Schizosaccharomyces pombe: one gene and its partners. The protein of the gene in region 2 interacts with the protein of the main gene of each other region in a pairwise test. Each region holds a gene or a part of one and is shown on either strand. Other genes may lie near its edges.

Region 1 (5,208 bases), on a different chromosome or scaffold from region 2:
TTTAAAAGTAACGTTCAATTGGATCGATTCAACGTTACAATTTAAATAGACAATGATTTACTAGTCGCATGAAACCCACCCTCTATGAAGCAAACTTACCTTCGATAATCCATTCGGAAGATTCAAAATCTCACAATTAAGAACATTGCCAACTTGTCCCATAAACTCTTTCAACTCAAACCAACGAACTTGATATGACAAATTACCAACATACACGCGACGCTCTTGTTGAGTGTACTTTTGGCCATTTCCCAAGTGAGGGTCTCTTTCAGTGTGCTCTCCATCAAAATGCAAGCCACGTTTCAATGAATTGCTTCCGTTGACATGTCGCTTCGGAGACTCCGATCTGTCACGATCCATATTGGAAGACGATGAATTCAAGGAACTTGACACATCCAACTTACTACCCATTCCTGAATCAAATTCATTCTATTTGATCAGCTAAATCAATCAATAGTTATCATACCCATTCTATAGGTTTAGGCATCGCAAGAGCATAAGCTGAGTGTGCATCTTCACATAATTAAAGCATCCCAACAACTTGACTTCTATAGTGTAACTGCAATATAATTTCGTAAGTGATATACTGTAAACTCTTAGATTCGCTAAAAGAACAATAGAATAAAAAAACTGTAAACATTTAAATTATAAATATTGACATGTACTGACTAATTAATCATAGTAAGGAGTTTTAGTTGTTTGTAAATGAGTCGTAATAAAAATGGAAACTCAAACAATAACTAGGGTTAGAGATAACCTCAGTTAATATTAAGTGTTTGAAAAATTCAAAGACTGTGCATAAATTGTATCAACAAAAAAGAGACAAACGAATATATTAGGAGTAAACAAAAAGGCTTTTGGTACAGCACCATTATTATCATCATGAATAATTCCTTGAGGCAAAAGTTGTCCTTATTAGTTATAATCATAAGTTTGCACAAGCCATGTATTAAAAGACAATAAATAAATTTTCAACGTGATTACCAAAAAAATCGGTATCAGGCTAGGAATTTTAAATAAGAAGACAGACTCAATGCCCTTGGGATCCGAACTCTTTGTCCCATTCTGAATATCGTTCCAGCCCTTGCAAGTTCACACTAGGCCGGATTACCTTGATACTAGTTTTAAAGTCATCTAAATTAATCGGCCTAATCGACTCCATTTTCGTGAATAGCAAAGACTCACCTAAACTTCGCAAAGGCCCCATAGCTGCGTCTTTTGCCAATGCTGTCAAATCAGAGCCAGAGTAATATTCGGTTGCTTTCACAATAGCCTCAATATCCTCTAAGGAAAGAGAATGCTTCTGATATTTTAAAAGGTTATTTAAATGTAAGCGACGAGTGGTCTCATCAGGGAGGGGAATGTAGGTACGACGGACAAATCGTCTACGAGCAGCATCGTCGATACACCAAGGCAAATTGGTAGCGGCAAGCACTAGAACTCTTGGGTGATCGGCGGTTTGTCGAGATGCAGCTGCTCTTGCAAGCGAAGACCACTGAATTAAGAATTCTGTTTTTATTCTTCTCGATGTTTCATGCTCATTTCCATCACTGCTTCTAGCAGAAAGCAGTGAATCAATTTCGTCAACAAAAATGATGCTTGGAGACAGCTTTTTTGCTAAAGTGAAGAGAGCACGAACAAGTTTTTCGGATTCACCCAAAAACTTGGATGTTAAACTAGAAGCTGAAATAGAAAAAAAGACAGAACGGGATTCAGTAGCAACAGCTCGCGCAAGCATTGTCTTACCAGTTCCTGGAGGCCCAAAAAGAAGCATCCCCCTAGCTGGTTCCCGCAAGCCTTGGAACAAATCTGGACGCAAGAACGGATACACCACTGCCTCTTTTAAAGAGTGCTTAGCAAATTCTAACCCAGAAATATCATCCCAATGAACTTCATCACCCGAAACCACGATTTCTCGAAGTATACTCTTACCAAGCTCTTCGTCGATGTCTGGACATTCACGCAGAATTTGTTCTTGCTTTTCAGAAGTCATTGCAGAGATAGATGTGGATTGAAACTGCTTTTCAATAATCTCTTCTTCGTTTGTGTGGTTGAAAAATTCATCGCCATCAACCGGCGAATCTTTCTCTTCACAGGAAGAAAGCCCCTGTTCGGAAGCTGGATAGAGATCACTCAGAAAAGGGTTGTTCACAGATAAACGTGGCGGTGTAAGGAAATCCAGATCTTGCGCAGTTTCAGTGGAAGCAGATTGAGCTCGTGGAGCTGACTGAGGAGTGGGAGATGGCGATTTTGTAACTGACGAAACAGAAGCGAGAGATGGCGCGACGGTTGCGATTGAGGTAGATGACTTTGATAACTGTTTTGATATAGAAGGTACTTCAGTGGTACGATTAGGGAGATGGGATTGCGTTTTCTTTTTGAAGGGTGAGGAAGAGGAGGAAATAGAAGAGTAAGTTCGGCGGGCAGCTTCAATAACGGCGGAGTTATCGGGAGTTGGACGATGACGCTCAACCTGAAACGATGATCGAGATGCCTGCGCTGCTTCCGATGATATGTATGATGGCGGGAGAGCATGCTTAGGCTTAGATGAATTCAAAGATCCCCAAGCCAATAGAGCTGCTCGATTGGCATTGTTCTGGGTAGAGACTTCAGCTGGAAGTCCAGTCCTAGCAAGCGATTTACTTGGAGGAAGCACTGATTTACTCTTGACACTGGCCTTTTTAGCAGATTTAACAGCGCTATGTGTTTCTAGTTCACCAGCGCCTTTACGCAACGAAGTCCGCGAAGCTGTAGGTGAAGAGGACATAGATGTTCGCGGAATATTAGGTTTTAAGGATGCCGTTGTCACTTTAGATTGTAAAGGAGCTGTTCTATTTTGACGCTCAAAAGAAGACGCACTATAGTTACCATCATCGATAAATGAGCGATCGCCAGGACCATTTCCACTTATATAAGCAACATTAGCGCTACCAGTAGAAGATTGTGTTACAAGTGACTTTTGTGTATTTTGAATATCCTTATAAGCAGCTTCTTGTTGCGCAATCTCTTTGGTAAGGAACTCAATTCGAATGGTCAACTGCTCCAACATGCAGAGTAATGTTTCCACATAATGTCTATCTTCATAATCCATCACGTGTAAGCGTTCCCTCGCATACTTAAACTCTGGATTCATGAGAATGTTCCGCTTGGCCTTTTGAAATAAAGCGATAGCCTCCACATAGTCAGCAGTCTGCTCTTTATGAATTGCAACGGCGGCATATGACTGTGTGACGTTATAGCAGTCTTCAAGGCTCATTTTTGTGCATTCTTTAACGTCTACAACTGATTAAAAACAATTACCTTTCAATGGAAAGAGGTTAAATCGGCTCGATTGGAAACGTTATTCTCTTTCTATATTGGCTGAAGTGCACAAACTACACTTCTCCTTTTATATCCTATTACCTTATTAAATATTGTTTTCGTACAAGCAGAATGCGGCATGCAAATACAAATCGTAGATATAGTGATACAAAGTTAAAGATAAAATTTCTCACTAAAACCACGATTTTGTCGGAAAACTTGATAAAGTCTACAAAAATAAATACAAAACTAGCAACAGCACTAATTATATGCGTGAATAGAAGTTCTATGATATACGCACTGTGCTTGTTGAGTTTTAAATCTTTACGGTTGGTTTTGGTGTAGCGAAGAATAATGATGGGTAAATGACGCATCTTCATCATTTACACAAAAAAACTCTTTTTGCTATATGAGAATTGAAAATTAGTTTACTTACAATAAATAATACCTTTAAAACCATTTCACTATTAATCTTAATATTTGCTTGGTCCAACTCCGTTCACCAGTCCAGCATATTCTCATCCTTACTTATAAGATATATTAGTCACAATCTTCCACGTGTATCCCAAAAAAAATGTATAAAAATAATATTAATTGAATGTTACAGGATTTTTAAGGTTAAATAACAAAACATTTATTCTTTTTGCCATCATGTTCAATATAAAACCAAAGGAAATTACAAAGAACAACACTTCATAAAAAAATTGTCGAATACTTGTCTAACAAATTTCCATCATCAGCAAATACTCAAACCACCATAAGCTGATTGGAATTTCTGCATATAAAAAAATCATTAAAGAACGTTGCATTATATCATGTATTGTGAATTCATCTCAATAAAAAAAGTGCCAGTATAAACAACATCCTTTGTATCGTAAACTGCTAACTCATCGAATATATATGACCAAATGATTTAATTGCTTTGAGAATGAAATTATAGAAGTAAAAGTGTAAAAGTGCAACAACTTGATTAATGGGAAAACAAACCAATAGTGTTGCTAATGCACTCTTACGAGCTAGAATTCATCGACAGCACTTGAGCAGACTTGGTTCGTAAAATCGGATTCGTTCTTCTGGGGTGAGGGTGGCTGTAGTGTTGAATGCGTTGCAACTCACCGACAAAGCTTTGACCCCAGAATTGACTGGTATACTTATTAACATATCGGAATAATTTATTCTCATTAGCCTCACGTTGTTTCTCCGGCATAGTGAGGGCATCATGAATGGAGTTTGCTAATTCCTCCGTGTTCCATGGATTAATTACAATACTACCATTGAGTGACTGGGCAGCACCGGCAAATTCACTAAGAATTAGGGCACCATGTCTCTCTTGTTGAGTGCAAATGTACTCGTATGAAACAAGATTCATACCATCACGAGTTGAGGTAATTAAACAAACGTCTGAAACGTTATACAGAGCAACCAGCTCTTCAAAGCGAACACTTTTATGTAAGAAATGAATAGGTGTATATTCAACAGTACCAAAACGACCGTTAATACGGCCAACAAGCTCATTGACAACGGCTCTAAGATTCTGATACTCTTCGACATCTTGACGAGAAGGAACGGCAACTTGAACCAACACGACCTTTCCAACCCATTCAGGGTATTGTTCTAAGAACACTTCAAAGGCATGGAATTTTTGGGGAACACCCTTAATGTAGTCCAAACGATCGACACCCACAATCACCTTAACGCCTTGTAGTCTACGTTCGATGCTTGCAATGCGATCCTTTACCACGTCAGACTTCAGAGCATCAGAGAACTTTTCGGGATCAATACCGATGGGGAAGGTGCCGACGCTGACCATTTGACCATTGTATTCCACACCGTTAGGTAGTGTGCTAAGATTAAGGATACGAGAGCATGCAGACAAAAAGTGACGGGCATAGTCGTAGGTATGGAAGC
Region 2 (4,535 bases):
AAACCAGAAAATCGATTTCACATTCTAAAAACACAGACAAGCATGTTGGTAATGAGCTTCCGCAAGATATTCCGAGCTGGCTCAGAAGTTTGCGCCTACACAAGTATACCAATAATTTAAAGGATACGGATTGGGATGCTTTGGTTTCGTTAAGTGATCTCGATTTGCAAAATCGAGGCATCATGGCACTGGGTGCTCGTCGTAAACTGTTGAAAAGTTTTCAGGAAGTTGCACCGCTAGTATCTTCAAAAAAAATGAATGAAAATTTAAAAGCGGCGAAAAACCAAAGTTCGGAGTCTTTAACGAGCTTCAAAGGTCATACTGACTCGGAGGATCTTCCAAGTGGGAGCATGTCTAACGAAATAAGCTCGAATTCAACTAAACAGGATGTTTCTAGTTCATCAATGGACTGAGAGTTTTTTATCATTAACTAATGACACTGAACTAGATATTTTTGTTTCACATCTAGTGACACTTATCTTTACGCTATATTTGACAATACTTTTTTCATTGCTTGAGGATTTCTGTTGTTTATTTTAAGCCAAAAGGTGGACTAATCAAATATTAAAAGCTTAAACCAATTTTACAAACTGTCTTTGACATCGCTTTTGTAATATAAACATATAAGTGAATTTTAGTGATTTGAAATTATATTATTATGAGCACTTAACGGGCACACCATATAAAAAGCTGATTTGTTTTCTAGCCTTCGGTAAAAATCATTGATTTGCTTAACAATCTTAAATCCATGAGCAGTATACCATTTAATAACTGATTCGTTTGTTGTTTGTACATGAAGAGAAATTCTGTCTATATTATTGTTTATGGCAGTTTTTTTGACGTGATCAATTAATAAGCTTCCAATTCCCAGACATCTGTAAGGGGCAAGAACACATAAGACTGTTACGTAAAGTGAATTATCTTCTGCAACAAGGCTGCTAATGGCTCCAACGAATTTGTCTTCGAATGTTGCAATGCGGGCGTAATCTGGATTTTTGAGAACTAGGCGGTAGAATTTGTCACTATAAGAAGCCTCTAAAACGACACGAACGAGGCGTTTGAAATGGACTATATTGGATTCAGTAATCTCTCTTATAAAATACTTTGAAATAATTGTATTTGAATTATCACCTAAACTAGGCATTTTTTGTTGAGCCGATGTATTTGGTTTTGCCAACGTATCTGCAAACCCTTGAAATGAAGCTTCACGATCTTTACGTTCCGAAACTTCTGTAGTTGCGGAATTATTACTTTCGAAACCACCAACCTTTTGCTTGACCGCCTCGTCATTCTTTGATTTTCTATTTTTCAAAAGCCGATCAAAATTTTTGTCAACAGAAAACAAACCTTTAGTATCTGCACCACACTGGATGCATGTCGGTGTTTTACGATATCTAGTTATGGCACACTGTTCACAAAAATGGTGACCACAAGTGGTAGCAATAGGACTTCGGTAATCCTTTTTACAAATTAAACAGACGAAAGGTATATCCTCTTTTTTCTCATTTTTTACCATCCCTTCTTCCAATTTAGCTCCTTTTTTGTATTTTTCCTGGACTGAATCCCATTCTCTATCAAGTTGCCATCCAGCTTTGTAATCCTCTCGCATATGCAAAAATTTACAAGTATCTCCATAACCGCAATACCCAGTGAGCTTATAATCTTTACAAACATCGGGTTGGTAGTCAATAATTGTATTCATACGGACAGTAGAAGCATTGGAAGATAAAACTGGCCCTACTTGGCTTTTTTTCTCAAAATCTTTCCTTTTAGGCAAAAATCTAGAGTAATCGTTTTGTGACTGGAATAACTCAGTAGGAAGAGTAGACTGATTAGCTAACTTCGGAGAAGGTCGACCTAAAATGACCTCTCTCGTATCTTCGTTGATAGCCGAAACAGTTGTAGTATTAACGGACTCACCAGTAGCGCTTAGATTTGACTGATATTCAACATTTATATCTTTCAAAGCAGAGTTCTCGAATTGCTCGGATTCTCTTTGCAATCGATTTAAGCGAACGGTTTTTTTTCTTCCCGAAACAATTGGAATATTGTCCCGCATATCTTCATTTGATGATTCACTGCTGCCTCCAGAGTCATCATCTCGTTTGAATCCTTTTTTACGCTTCAGTCCTTGTCTGGGGCGATGTCTCCGACGGCTTTGAAAAATTGGAACAGCTAATTCGGTATTGATTTTTGAACCTGAAGCCTGATTGATATTTAAATTTTTTTGTTCCATTGGATGTATGGCAAAGATAATTTAATGACCAAGACACTTGAAAAATCAAATTCAAGATAGAAACGTCGTCAATTCTTCTTTAATTGAGACCCTATTTAAATTCCAAGATAGAACCACTATAATAGTTTAAACAATTAATAGTCACTAAAACAGTTCCCAAACAAGTGCTTCAAAAATTCTGATATCTAGTAGAATCAATATTAGCGCTTGCTGTTTGCTCAAAATTGTGAAACGTGTGTCCCCTTAAATAAATAAAATAAAACAACAAAAATAGAAGAAGTTTGTAGTGAAATGCAAATATATAAATTTTAGAAAGCTGCTAAGCTAAATACGTGGCCACCGAATCTGGGCTTTAGTAATATTCAGGTAGATATATTTTTTAATAATATATAGGTATTTATATTTACTTTTTAAGATTATATAGTATAACGAGGCACAAAACAAACGTTGAGTTCTATTAAGAATGTATAGTTCTCTTTTTGTGACAGTAATCAGTCTTAATAATTTAATTACTATAGTAATGACTAATATTTTCAATCTAAACATATATATACAGCCTTCAATGTAATACGTGTTTGCACAGCGTTCCCTTTAATTTATTGCTTAGCGGTACTTCATAAACACATCTAGAGATTTTTTCATATTTATTTTTATTTTATTTTATGGAGATTATGAGAAAAGGCTGAGATATGGGGGTGTTATTTTCAATTTAAACGTATAGAGCATTGCCATTTACTAGAAATTGTTAACATGAAGAGGCCGTTGCTACGACGATCTAATTTACATTCTTGTTTAATTCATTATCATTTATCATCCAACTCTAATTATTTTGCAATCTGCAATATTGATGAACAAGCTACTAAGTACTGTTTCAACGGCTTATGAATTATATCACATCAAACAATCATGGTCTCAGACCTATAATGCAAATAGCGTATGCTTACAGAATTGAAATCGAATAAAGTTTAGTAGGAAATTATACAAACTCATAGCGTGTCTCAACTTTTATTATAATTCATTATGGTACAAAACTATTTTGAGTTAAGCAAAAGTTCAATGGATAAAATTCCAAACGTTAGGTTTTTAAAAACGACAAGAGTAAGACATCACATTTAACAATTTGCATTTTGAAGATGAACCATTAATCACTCTTAATCAGCCCTTGGTTGTTTACGAACACTATCTGATTCACTGTTCCTGTCTTTATAAAGTTCGCCATCATCAACCTCACGCAACCATGGTGCCAATATGACAGGTGATTCAGAACCTTTTTTATCCATCTTCACAACAAAGTCTTCGTTCCTCTTATTCAAGTGGTATGTTTTTTGCTTCCGGAGAGTGTAAGGTGAAGGTGACCTAGATTCATTAGACCTTTTTCTAGATACCTTTGGTGAATATTGACGGTTGTATGATAAAGAGTCATAAGATCTTTTATTCCTAGCAGGAGAGCGAGAAATAGGGCGTGCAGCGGAGACGGAGATCTAGAGTATGAAACTGAACATGACATACTCAACCTTCTTCTGTAGGAGGGTGAGCGAGAAAAGGACCTGCCTCTGCTTGTAGAACCAGCGTATGAACGTCTATAACGTTGGCGCGAGCGATACTTACGTGAAGCAGGTGAAGAAGAACGAGAACGATAACCCTTATCTTCAGATTCAATTAATCTTCCCTCCGGCGTGTAAGAGCGTGAGCGACCCCTTGACAATGATGATGACCTGGAAAGATCAGAATAAGAGTTACGGTTTGATGACCGTTCTCTCCCACGAGGAGATAATTCTCTATCTTTTCTAATGTATTTTTTATGATTTATATTATTGATAGGGGTTACACTGCGGGAGCGAGAATAAGAACGGCTTTTCGAGTATGACCGAGTTGACCGAGAATATGATCTCCCACGTGAGTATGTGGAAGAATAAGAGGAACTATATGTTGATCCTGTCTCGGATCCAGAGCTATAACCTTCGCTATCTTGCTCCTTTGGCTCGCTTTTGGGCATGGTAAGGAGGTACTCTCTCATTTCTTCAGTTAATGCACCCAAACCAATAGAAGTAAAGTAATTGATAGAGAAACGAACGTTACGAGCTTCATCGACTGGAAACAAGCCATGTAAGTAAGGCACTAAATTAGGATCGTGTAATCTTTCTACCAAGCTCTTAAGACCTAAAGCTTCCACTATTTCCTGAAACATTATTTTTAAAAATATTCGAGAAGAAGCTGTGGTATCGTCTTCGGTAAGACGTACACAGTCATATACTTCCCAACCAATTGAGTCAGTACTCAAGAGGTTGGCAAAAAATAA
Region 3 (3,854 bases), on a different chromosome or scaffold from region 2:
ACGAAGTTACCTGTTTCCACCTAGTTTCGTAAATGAGCTAGCTGTAAAAGACAAGCGATAATGAGGCGGATACTTAATTGGTCTTATTCATCATCAACAGGTGTGCTAGCACTCAAATAAAACTTTTCTAAAAGGGCACATGTCTTAGTCCATAAATACTTTTACTTTCCCTTTTTCTCTTTGTAAATAAGATAGCCCATTAAAACTCGCTAAATCCCATTATTTTGCATCCTAATGAATGGCTCGTTAAGTTTATCGTCACGTTCGTCTTATGATCCCACTCTAATATGTTGCAATTAATAAATAACAGAATACGTTACAGAGCGCTAATAGATGAAATGCTAGTGTAAACAGATGAAGAAAATCCACCTTTCCATCTCATCAAATAGTTTGCTTTGTTTCTAACAGCTGTGTTCTCTTCAGCAGCTAATGTAAATGTTTTAATTCTCTTGTACCGATATTTTTAAAGCGTATATACCCACTCTCATCGAAAAACATTCACATGTTGCTGTGCTACTGCTTAAGTCTCTTCGCTCACTACTCTAACATTGCTCTATCATATTGAAAAGCACGTCAATATTATTACGATTATGTGGCACAAAGAAAGTAGTTTCATTTGTTATTTCCTTTTTTAAATTCGAAACAATGCATCAAAAGTTCATAATTCATTAAAGTTGAATCAATTAGGCATACATGGCTCCGTCATAATATGGAACTGGAGTTTCAGATGAACCAGTGTTAACATCTTCTTCCGGTAAACCAGCGAAAAGAGAAGGATCGCCAAGGGCCATACGCTTTGAGGTATACATTTGGGCAACAATACCTGCTGCAACAGAAATGGATTGTTCCACCCATTCTGTTACCCATTCATTTGGTAATATGGCGTTAGAACCGAAAAGCTTAATGTATCGAGGGTCCACAGCCCATCGTTGCCATTCAAGCGGCAAAGGTTGAGAAGTGGTAGAAAACTCCAAGTTATGATTAGTATCGTTAAGGTGAATAAGAAAGCATAGTTGCTCATCATCCGAAACTTCTTTATTTTTGATAGTAAATGCTTGGATTACGAGAAGTAAGTGAGTTACTCGAACCATAGGAGATTCTGAAGCGTCTTCATCATCACCAGCTCCAACATTTTCTTGCTTGTTTTCTTTGTTCATCTTTTTAGCCTCCGTAATAGGTTCAGCTAAATTGGCTTTTGCAAGTTTTTTCGCTTCCAAATAACCATTACATAGACCAAAGTCTTCATAGACATCGTTCGTTCGGGGTCGAACCTTAGCTTCCTTATCCAATAACACCGTTAATTCACCTCCTTCTACTTGGAACATCACCTGGTAACATGTCAGTAAAATTATCCCATAAAACTTAATTATGATTATGCATTGACCTATCTGTCTTTTGAAAACCAAGTAATCGGTGACAGCATAAAAGAAAGCACAAATATTAGTGCTATGTCCAAAGCGTAAACGTAAATACGCAACTTACTTTTTCAAAGCTTTCATACACTATACGGTCCAGGTGTGCAAATCCTGCTAGATCATGAAATACCGTCACCTGCAAAACTTCATGATCATGAATAGGAGGTGCCACCACGTTCAGAACGTTGTGAATTGTATTGCTTAATGTGGGAAGGGCCTTACTCCTTATTCCATTGCTCAAATCTCCTAAAAGACATTTGTTAGCAAAAGGAACTCTTTCTTCCAAAAGAGAAATTCTACTTACCAAGCTTGTTCAAGTCCACCATATTACGCACGTTAATATCCCAGTTGGCATTCTCTTCAAACCCTTTTATGGAGCGAACTCGTTGTTCAGCTGATCGAACAGCAGCGGACGCAGTGGACCAAAACCCACCAAGCCAGTTGCTCTGTTTGGGTGTTTCTACATGTTCTTGGAACTCCTGGGACTTGTTGATTTCGTTAACCGTTTTTGGAGTAGCGGATTCTGTATTTTTATTTATAGTTGTCTGAGCCGCTTGAGACGGTTGATTTGATGCATCATGTTGCTGACGTTCATTCGAGGTAGCTGCGACAGATTCATTTTCCTCGTTGGCCTCTTCTATAGGATTTTTCTCATTCTTTTCTTCGTCATTCTCAAGCTGATCTAAAAATTCCAGCAGTTCTTTTTCGTCCTGCACTTCAGATGGGGCACCAATTTTGGAGTCGTCGTTGTTGAACTCTTTGGAAGTGGGATCTGCTTCCATGCCAAGTTGATCCAATGATGCCATTAATGTTTCGACATCATCAGTTTGCTCTTTGGTCTCTGCCATACTGTTTAGCAGGAATATCACACGGTCTTGTCTAGTTGATGAGTTTCGTAGGCTGAAAAAGCCACATTAAGGACTCCTATAATATAACGGTAAAAATCCTCGTTAAGAAAATTTTATGCAATTATTATTATATTATTACATTATGAAAGAATTTAATAATTTCGTTTTAAAAGTAAAGTCGTGAACTAAGGTATGTGAATTTTAAAAAAGTTTATCTAAAAAATAACATAAAAAGTTTACTGTACCATGTTTGTTCTTATGATTCTCTCACCAATATTGATCGAACGACATTCTGCGAGTCAATTATGCAACAGTGGTCTTGATCGTGCAACTGATGCGTGAATTTTATAGGCATAATGCTTACGAGAAACGAGAAAGCAACAGATATTTATTATCCGTGCGCTGTAACTTACCTACACATTGTTTAAAAAAAGCAATAGCTTAAACAATGGTCAGCAACTTCCTATCCGTTTTGGCCAAATAATACACGCCGTCCAACGAACATTATTTAATACATTTATTTATCATCAATTTCACTTCAACATCATCGACAAAACACTACAGAACCTTCATGCCTAAACTATTGGAATATATACAGGATCAAGCGAATATTGCACAAAATTCTATCTACTCAAATCAAAACGACTAGCAGTCATTGATAGATTCTTTAAAAACAACGTGACAAAGAGCAAATGGCTTTTTTTGGCACACACTGACAAAAAAATGCGTAAATCATTAATGGTATTATCTAACAGCATTAAACGTCCTTGTCATTAAAAGACAGGCCTGGTAATATTTCAATCTCTTCTTTCAAGCTAAAAAGAATCAAGAGATCGCGGTTACACAGTACGTAAATAAGTACAATATCGAAACTTTTGGGAAGCCATGTCATATGCAAAGTTGAAAATAACCATATTCCAATTTCACCCCTTGAAAATTTTAATTTAAACAACGGTTTCATTAAAAGAATGCATAACTAGTTTCCATCTTTTTGAACATCTCAGTCCTAAGAATAGTTGTTGAGCATCATATAATTCGTATGGTTCTATCATAAAGAAAATTTAAGGTAACAATAAATTGAAAGTATTGGAATAAATCCCAACTATTAGAACATATTCGTCACTGAGTAAGCGTCAATTGATTAACAGAGTGGATAGTTTTAAAAAGATTGAAGATAAATTTTAAGGTAAATAACTCATAAATAGTAAACATTCAAAACAGGAAGAATACAACAAAGTAGTAGTGTCGAAAAATCAGCATTACTGAATCGCATTTAAAAGCAACTGATTTGGATAAAAAAGAAAAGTAATCGAAGTTAGACGTCTGTGTTACACTTTTTGTCGATGTCGACGATTATACAAAGTTGCCTTTGACAAGTTGAGTTGGAAACCTTTGAACTTATTCCGCGACCTTTGAGATGATTGTTGTTGCGATTGAGCAGGTTGGCGGGAAGCAAGGCTAGGATCGTTTTCACCTGACAGGTTGACTCGTTTCATCGAATGTTCAACGCTCTTGGTACCATCATCGTAATCATCATTCTCCTCCATCAAATCATCCATGTCACCCATAAAATTCATGATTCCTTGGTTAC

Evidence for each region. The genes of interacting proteins can lie anywhere in the genome.
Region 1: the proteins of cwf24 (region 2) and spg4 interact in a two-hybrid assay, tested with the Schizosaccharomyces pombe proteins (one large-scale study listed by BioGRID).
Region 3: the proteins of cwf24 (region 2) and SPOM_SPCC1322.09 interact in a two-hybrid assay, tested with the Schizosaccharomyces pombe proteins (one large-scale study listed by BioGRID).

Annotation. Positions count from the first base shown.
Region 1 is NC_003424.3:3,479,957-3,485,164, reverse strand, and holds spg4 (AAA domain-containing protein), read right to left. Parts: upstream 3,609-5,208; 5' UTR 3,257-3,608; coding exon 1,031-3,256; 3' UTR 560-1,030; downstream 1-559. Other genes in the region: hrb1 (RNA-binding and mRNA export factor), read right to left, coding at 100-429, 467-487; tps1 (alpha,alpha-trehalose-phosphate synthase (UDP-forming)), read right to left, coding at 4,310-5,208.
Region 2 is NC_003423.3:3,039,503-3,044,037, reverse strand, and holds cwf24 (zf-C3HC4 domain-containing and GCN5-like protein cwf24), read right to left. Parts: upstream 2,578-4,535; 5' UTR 2,237-2,577; coding exon 635-2,236; 3' UTR 514-634; downstream 1-513. Other genes in the region: vts1 (RNA hairpin-binding protein), read left to right, coding at 1-413. UniProt on the Schizosaccharomyces pombe protein: Involved in mRNA splicing.
Region 3 is NC_003421.2:1,304,603-1,308,456, reverse strand, and holds SPOM_SPCC1322.09 (uncharacterized protein), read right to left. Parts: upstream 2,301-3,854; 5' UTR 2,264-2,300; coding exon 1,720-2,263; exon of another isoform or gene 1,662-1,719; coding exon 1,483-1,661; intron 1,329-1,482; coding exon 684-1,328; 3' UTR 560-683; downstream 1-559. Other genes in the region: MAPK-activated protein kinase Srk1, read right to left, coding at 3,592-3,854. UniProt on the Schizosaccharomyces pombe protein: Involved in telomere capping.